Linked DNA regions of Pelodiscus sinensis. The protein of the gene in region 1 interacts with the protein of each later gene in a biochemical or structural test. Links are inferred from orthologs where the notes say so. Each region holds a gene or a part of one and is shown in the gene's direction. Other genes may lie near its edges.

The links. The genes of interacting proteins can lie anywhere in the genome.
Region 2: the proteins of ERBB4 (region 1) and YAP1 form a complex in vitro, tested with the Homo sapiens proteins (2 studies listed by BioGRID and IntAct, with this or other methods). The link is inferred for Pelodiscus sinensis from reciprocal best matches to the Homo sapiens genes ERBB4 and YAP1.

What each region holds. Positions count from the first base shown.
Region 1 is NC_134717.1:59,548,675-59,552,274, reverse strand, and holds the start of ERBB4 (receptor tyrosine-protein kinase erbB-4), read left to right. Parts: upstream 1-978; 5' UTR 979-1,324; coding exon 1,325-1,409; intron 1,410-3,600. UniProt on the Homo sapiens protein: Tyrosine-protein kinase that plays an essential role as cell surface receptor for neuregulins and EGF family members and regulates development of the heart, the central nervous system and the mammary gland, gene transcription, cell proliferation, differentiation, migration and apoptosis.
Region 2 is NC_134711.1:304,440,679-304,444,496, forward strand, and holds the start of YAP1 (transcriptional coactivator YAP1), read left to right. Parts: upstream 1-1,223; 5' UTR 1,224-1,682; coding exon 1,683-1,967; intron 1,968-3,818. UniProt on the Homo sapiens protein: Transcriptional regulator with dual roles as a coactivator and corepressor. Critical downstream regulatory target in the Hippo signaling pathway, crucial for organ size control and tumor suppression by restricting proliferation and promoting apoptosis.

The sequences.
Region 1 (3,600 bases):
GCGGAAAATCATGCCAGTCTATACGTCGCCAGGCTGTTCCCAGCAAGCCGCCTGCTCTTTGGAACAGCTCCTCTCAAGGATAAACCTCAGGGGTACAGATACTCTAGATTACTTTAATTAGCCTCCACTGGCAGCAGCCTCAGTCCAGAATAGCTCCTGCCTTGCTGCTTTAGTAACAAAAGCAAAGCAAAACACCCTTCGGATTATTTTGGGAGCAATCCCATATGTCGAACTGAGTCATAGGCGCGGCAGACACGGCTCTTGTTTAAATGATGCCACCTGAAAGGGAACCCAGCCACCTGCAGCCTCTCTGAGCTGCCCCCGCCCCGGGCAATCAGCAGCCAGAGTGAGAAGCTGCGTGTGGACAGTCTGCTCCCTTGCAGAGCGCGCGCGGGTGTGTGTGTGTGAGGGAGATCAGGAGCGAACCCTTCACGCTCCTCGCCGCCTGCCACAGCAGGGGCTGCCCGGAAAACGCTGCAAAGCGGACCCAGCTGCGTTTGGGAAAAGCCTCCGCAAGCTGCGGGATTGCCAGCGGTCCAGCCTGTCTGCGGCGATGCAGCTGGGTGCGTGTGTGTGGACAACCCCCCTAGATCCAATGCAAGGGGGGGGGGTGCCTGCTTGGAAAAGGCAGCGTGCCTGTGTCCCCCACCCCTTCCCGCGCTCAGCCAGGTGCAACCGCTGATTGCAAAGGAGGGGAAAGCAACCCCCAGCCGCGCTTGCACGGAGCAGGAAGAAACAAGGGCAGCACAGCACCCCCCAGCCGCGGGACACCCCCCGCAGCGAGCCCATGGGCAGGCCACTGCAAAGCCGCGTCTCCGGGGCACGGCGGGCGCCCAGTGCATATCACCCCCTTACGGCTAACCCGGGGCAGGGCTCGCGCCGCCCGCCAAGCGCGCGTGACAGGTGTTCCCGGGCCGCGCGTGGGGGGAGTGAGCCGGGCCCCGCCGGCGGCGGGCGGGGCGGGGCTTGTGCCCAGAGGGGGCGGGGCCTCGGCGGTGTGTGTGTCTCGCTCCAGCCTGCCCCGCCGCTCGGTGCGGGATTATTTGGGGGGGCGGCGGCGGCGCGCAGCAGCCGGGGAGCGGAGGCGAGGGGGGCTCCCGGGCGGCAGCCCTGCAGCGCCGGGACCCGCGAGCGGAGCAGAAGCAGCAGGAGCAGCAAGGGGAGGGGCACCGCCAACCAACCCCCCCTGAAAAAAGAAAGTGGAGCCGGGGGAGCCACTTGTTGCGGGCCGAGTGGGGAAGAAGCCGCCGGTGCCCCGCGCCCGGCCGCGGGGGGAGCTGCCCGTGGGGACCATGTGAGCGCGCCGCCCGACCCTCCGCCAGCCATGAAGCCGCCGGCCGCTGGGCTCCTGTGCTGGCTCGGCTGCCTGCTGGTCTCCGGCGCCCTGCAGCCCGGCGCGGCGCAGGCAGGTGGGTGGCCGCGACGCCGAGCCGGTTTGACGACCCCCCCCTTGAAGTGTGACCCTGCGCGGGGGGGGCCTTGCTGGGGCAGCCGGGGTCCAGCTGCGGCCGCTCCGGGGGGGACGCTGCGGTGCCGCGGGCCGGGACGGCTCCTCTAGGAGCTGGCGGCTTGACGGGCGCTTCGCTGCCCCACCTGCGTGCGGCCCCGGGCGCCCTGCGCAGCGCTGGCGGGAGGGGGTCTGGCCTCCCCGGCATGCAGGGCTCCTAGGTTAACCTCCCCCTTCTGCGTTAGGCGCTCCCCTGGCAGGCTGCTGTGGAGCCAGGCACAGCCCCCCCCCCCCCCCCCGTAACACTCCCGTTGCGTGGCTCCCGGAGGACTTTGTGGAGTTGTTGAGCTGCTCTTGGCCCCGGTCCCGGGATGAACTCGGCACGCGGGCAGCGGGGAACAACCCAGCCCGGCATCTTGGTGCAAGGGTTGGCGGCATCTTCACCCCCCCCCCCCCCCCCGACGCGTGTGACCCCGGGAATCGGCTGCCCCGCTCAGACTTTGAGCCGAGTCAAAACGCTCGGGCTTTAAGCCCATCCTCTAGGGTGCCCCCCCCCGGTGAACGCGGGGCGAGGTGGGCTGGACGGGTCCGTGTCGCTCTCCTCCCGTGCAGCCTGCCAGACGCGGCTGGGTTCCCCTGCGTTTGTGCGCGCACCGTGCTGCGGGCACGCATCGGCTGGCTGCGGGGTCGGACCCGCGGCGTGCGAGCCTGGGGTGCCCTTCGAGCCCCTGCAGACCCCCTTCCACCTGGCGGTGCATGCGCCCCCCCCCCCCCTTCCAAAGCAGCGTGCGCTTGGCCGGGCGGAATATCTGTGGGGCAACCTACAGCGTTTTCCCTCTGCTTTCAACCGCGCTCCTTGGGGGGGACTCTCCTTTGCAAGCCCCTCTCGGGATTCCCCGGCACGGAATATCCCCCCAGATTAGTCCCGCGGCGCCGCCGCCTCCTCCCGTAGGGTCCCCGTCGCGCGCGAATCCGTCCGAGTCAGTGGGATGTGATGAGTGTATGTTGGACAAGGCTGGTGTCACAAAAGCCAAGCTCGGGTTTTTCAGACACCAGGCGAGCCAGGATGCGCGAGGAGGGGCGAGGAAAGCTAGTTCGTGGATTTCTTTGACTCGAAAGACGGTTGCGGCTGAGAAATTGCAACAATTCTGCGTGCAGGGAGGGGTGGGGAAAGAGATCCCCTTAATTTCGGTCTAACTACCAAAGCCAATGATTTGTCTGTTCGTTTTTGTGTGCTCTCCCCAAGTATATCCGTATTGAGCGTTCCCCCGTCAGTAGCAGTTTGGAGGAGTTTGTTTTGGTCCAAATGAGAAATTAAGTGCGGATAAGTAAACTAAGCTGCCAGAGGGCGACAAGATGTTGTGTGAATTGCTTTTAGATGAAACAAATTAAGGAAACGAGGGAGACAATCTGCTTCTCGCATTATTAGACACGCTTGGAGTTCAGGGGAAAGTGGCATATTTTTGAAATGCTAATGTCTTAAGAAGCAGAAGGAATGCACCTTATTTACTGGTTTATGTGAATAGAATAGAAATATTGATTTCTCCCCCCTCCCCAGTACAAATCATTAGACGTGTGGTTCTGTCTCTTCAAAGAAACCTGTAGGAAGTCTTGTTTCAATTTTTCCCCTTTAAAATTGCAGGGGTGCATCTATGAGTCAACTTGTAAGATATTTAAAAGGGGTGTCCCGTAGCATCCCTAGAGACGATACATTATACTACCGTTTACGTTTCCGATGTCAGTGTTATATCCCCCAGCAGAACAATTCCTGGGAAGTAACTCTGTATTGGTGTTCATGTGTGATTTACAAGAAAGTGTTAGTATATCGTTCATTTATTCTGCAAAAGGGAAACATAAACACACTCCTAGACAGAAGCAAGCAGCGGTTCCAAGTCCACAAAGTGTGTTACGCTGTTTAACCTGGGTCTGTCCCGAGGCATATAAATAAGGGTTTCCCCATATATTTTTCAATGTTTCCAATTATTGCCAGGTAAACCTACATAGTTGGATTCCTGTTTAACCAATTTATTAAAAAATGTAATGACCTTGAAAGATGAAAACAAAAGCCTTAAATGTACATTTTTCCTTCACGGTGACTACATGTTTATGAAAAATACACAGTGCAAAATTTCCTTAAACTCCTTTCATAGTGC
Region 2 (3,818 bases), on another chromosome or scaffold:
GTGACTATTCTTAATCTCCAGTTCTATATATTAGTGGTATAATGGAATGGAGGAGCTCTTCTTTCTGTATGGAATCAATTAACACTTTCATAGTTCCATTCCCTTCAATGAAATATACATTGCCTGCCTACACAAAAATGTGACCTACAATATACATTTAACATAGTTTTTTTGAATTATTATCAAGGGATGTTTTATGTTCACAAATTATAATTACATATAAAATGTTTTTAAAAGCTTTGTTACATTGATTTTAAATTGTAAGATTCAGATCCTGCAAACCCTAATGCTTGTACATACTTTTACTTAGCCCCTTAGAAGTCAATGAAACTAATTGTGCATAAATCTAGGATTGGGGCCATAGTGAGTGCATCATATTATCTGAATGCGGCTTGCAGTAACTTGCATAGAACTCAAAAGGATCCATTAATCTTGCTTTCCCCACCCCCACATTGTTACCTGTTGTGTTTCAAAATCCTCAAACATTAAAACTGTTATTCTCCATCTTTTTTCAAAAATGTTAACATTTTATTTTATATAATTAGTTAATAAATAATAGTTGTGTTATAGGCTTACAGGTATGTATTAAGCAGCATGTTGAATCAACCTCGAGTGGGTGTATAGTAAGTTAAATTGACTGAATTGTTTCCATTGGACTCTATATCAGAAAGGTGATCAATCCCCATAGTAAGCTCTGACTAGAGAAAAATCTGTTTTGAATGTAACTGTATAATTTACCCTACCAGAAACGCCACTTTAGTCGTTAAAATTAGTCTCCATAGTGGTACTTGGAGGGTGCGGTTAGGTTCCCTTGTGAGAAGGAGGGTTTCAGCTCTCCCCACCCCCTATGGAGACCAGAGATCCAATTTCTTTCTTCTCCGATTCCCCCTCCCCACCTCTATCTAATTCCGTGGATAGAATGGGAAGCAGTGAGAAGCCACGTTTCTCCCGCCCGCATTCAGGGGAGGAGGCCCTCGCCTCTCCCTCCCTCTCCCGGGGGCCATGGCTGGGAAAAGTCTCCGCCGACCCCCTCCCCGTTCTGGGGATAAAGCGTCTTTCTCCCTCCCCATTCCAGCGCGGAGGTCGCGGGGGGAGGGGCGCAGCAGGAGGCTGGAAGTTTGGAGGAATTTATTTTAAACTTTTCGATGCATGGACTTCAGCATTGAAGGGCAGCGTGGCGGGCGGGAGTAGAGGATTAAAAAATGAGGCGGGCGGTTGCGAAAGGGCTGGCTCTCCGGGATGTTGCGCGAGAGGAAGTTTGCTCGCGACTTGGTGGCGGCCGCTGACTGCCAGATTCTATGCGGACGGGCGCATAAAGAACTGCCAGTGATAGTGGTACCCGGCTGTGACTGGATTCTGAGCGGGCGGGCGCAGTAGGACTAAAAGTTGGCTGCAGGAAACGGTGCGGGCGGGCTCCGCGAGGGGCGGAGCTGGCTGGGAGTGATTCGGGCGGGCACATCTCAGAACTTTTGTTTAGCGAGTTGTGCGAGTTAGTTTCCGCCGCCGGGACAGAGGGGTGGGCCGGGCTCCGGGAAGTTGCTGCTAGGTCGGGCTTGTTTTGCCCGTTGGTGCTGCTGGGCGTGGGGGGCAGAGCAGCAGAAGGAGCACCGGCAGGGCAATAGGGTATGTGGGGTGGAGAGCCCGGGATCTGAGTCGCTGAGCCCCGGTACGGACGCGGAGTCATGGATCCCGGGCAGCCTCAGCAAGCGCAGCCTTCAGCGCAGCAGCAAGCGCCGCAGCCGCCAGGAGCCCAGTCTGGCGCGGGGCAGCCCCCGGGCGCGGGGCCTCCTCCGGCCGGGCACCAGATCGTGCATGTGCGGGGCGACTCGGAGACCGATCTGGAGGCGCTTTTCAACGCGGTGATGAACCCCAAAGGCGCCAACGTGCCGCACACGCTGCCCATGCGGCTCCGCAAGCTGCCCGACTCCTTCTTCAAGCCGCCCGAGCCCAAGGCCCACTCCCGCCAGGTGAGGGGGGGACTCTCCCGCCTCTCGTGGGTGGGGGCGGGGCGCGCCGGGGCGTGTGTGTTGGGGGGGATATCGGAGAGCGTCCCCTTCAGTCGCCCCTTCTCCTCCTCCTGTGTGTGTGGGGCGGGGAACGCCCTCCTCCTCCTGTGTGCGGGGAGGGGGTGGTCTGTCCTTCGGCCCCCGTCGTGTGTGGGATCTCTTCAGCCCCCACTCGTGGGGAGGAGTGAGCGCCCCCTCATGGGTGGGGGCAGGGCCCCCTTGCACTCGGGGTTTGCCGGGGAGCTCGCCCCTTGGAGTCTTGTGGGGCAGCTCCCTTGCCCTTTTATGACGGGGGTGCTCGCTTCTTTGTGCCTATTTTTGGGACCCTTCGGGATTTTACTTTGGAAACTTTACATTTAGTTCGGCGCAGGAGTTACCAGTCTCAGCAGCTGATTTTTGCACTCACATTAGGCCCTGTCTCCGCCAGGGGCTCTCACTCCCCAGCTACCTTACTTGGGAGCCCAATAATTGCACTCTTGTTTCCCAGCGTGTGGGGAGGGGGGGGGGGGGAGAGAATTAACGGCCCTAAAATTATTCCTAAAAATGTTTCACTCGAAAAAACAAAAGGATTTGGTTCTCTAATGTAATAGTCAAATAGTTTGTTTATTTGCGTGGAGAGGGAGTGAGGAATTGTTGCCAAACTTAAAAAAAAAAAACAATCTGGATGTGGTTTTTCCACCATTTCATTATTGGACTCCATAGGATTGAATTTCCCACAGCAGAAACTAATTCTAGTGCCCATGGGTTTTTCTGTCCCTGGTCGTAGGCCTTTCACTTTGCTGAAGTATCAGTAAATTAACCATATCTGCAAATTGAATTGAAATAATTTAGCTGCTGCAGTCCTGTAATCTGAACACTCACGCTTTGTCTACATTGGCACGATCTTGCGCCAAAGCAGCCACTTTTATGCAAAAACATGCTGCCTGTCTACACTGGCGGGGAGTTCTTGCGCAAGAACACTGAACGTTCTAATGTGTGAAATCCGTGCTTCTTGTGCAAGAACTATGATGCTCCCGCTCAGGAATAAGCCCTCTTGTGCAACTGTTCTTGCGCAAGACACCAGTGTAGATAGGCAACATGAATTTCTTGCTCAAGAAAGCCCGGAGCTTTCTTGCACAAGAGAGCGTCTACACTGGCAAGGATGCTCTTGCGCAAAAGCACATCTCTTGTGCAAAGGCACATGCCAGTGTAGACGCTCTCTTGCGCAACTACTTTAATGCAAGAACCCTTGCGTTAAAGAGTATTTGCACAAGATTGCGCCGATGTAGACACAGCCCCAGGGTACAATCCTGCAAGTTTTTAGTACAAGATGAAAAAGATCTGCAGGATTGGCCCCATTATAAGTCCGTAGCAGAGTCTGTTCTTTAAGGAATTTGACTCTGCCAAGACGAAAATGCTGATACAGATATGACTAAAAGTTAATGTTTAGGCTGCTGTTACTAAATTTCTGTAAACTGCCTCTCGTATGTTTTTGCTAAGCAATGAATTTAGCTGATAAGTTATAAAGTAAGATATTATAAGATGGTGTCACTTTATCTAGATAGTCAAAAAAGAGATGTGCTGTGTATTTCACAGGTATCTGGTATTCCTGTAGTTAAGGGCCTGTCAATATTTCCATTATTAAACTCAGATTTGGCAGGATTTATAACTGTTGTAAAACATTTACTCAAAGCTAAACTTTGGCATATATCCTCTCAGCCTAGGAGTTAATTCATTTTCCAAAATTTTTAAAGGACTGCAAAGAAAATACAAAAGCCTTCGAGATGGGTTATTTCTATATTCTTGTAACTTGTCAGAAATACGAATTATTGG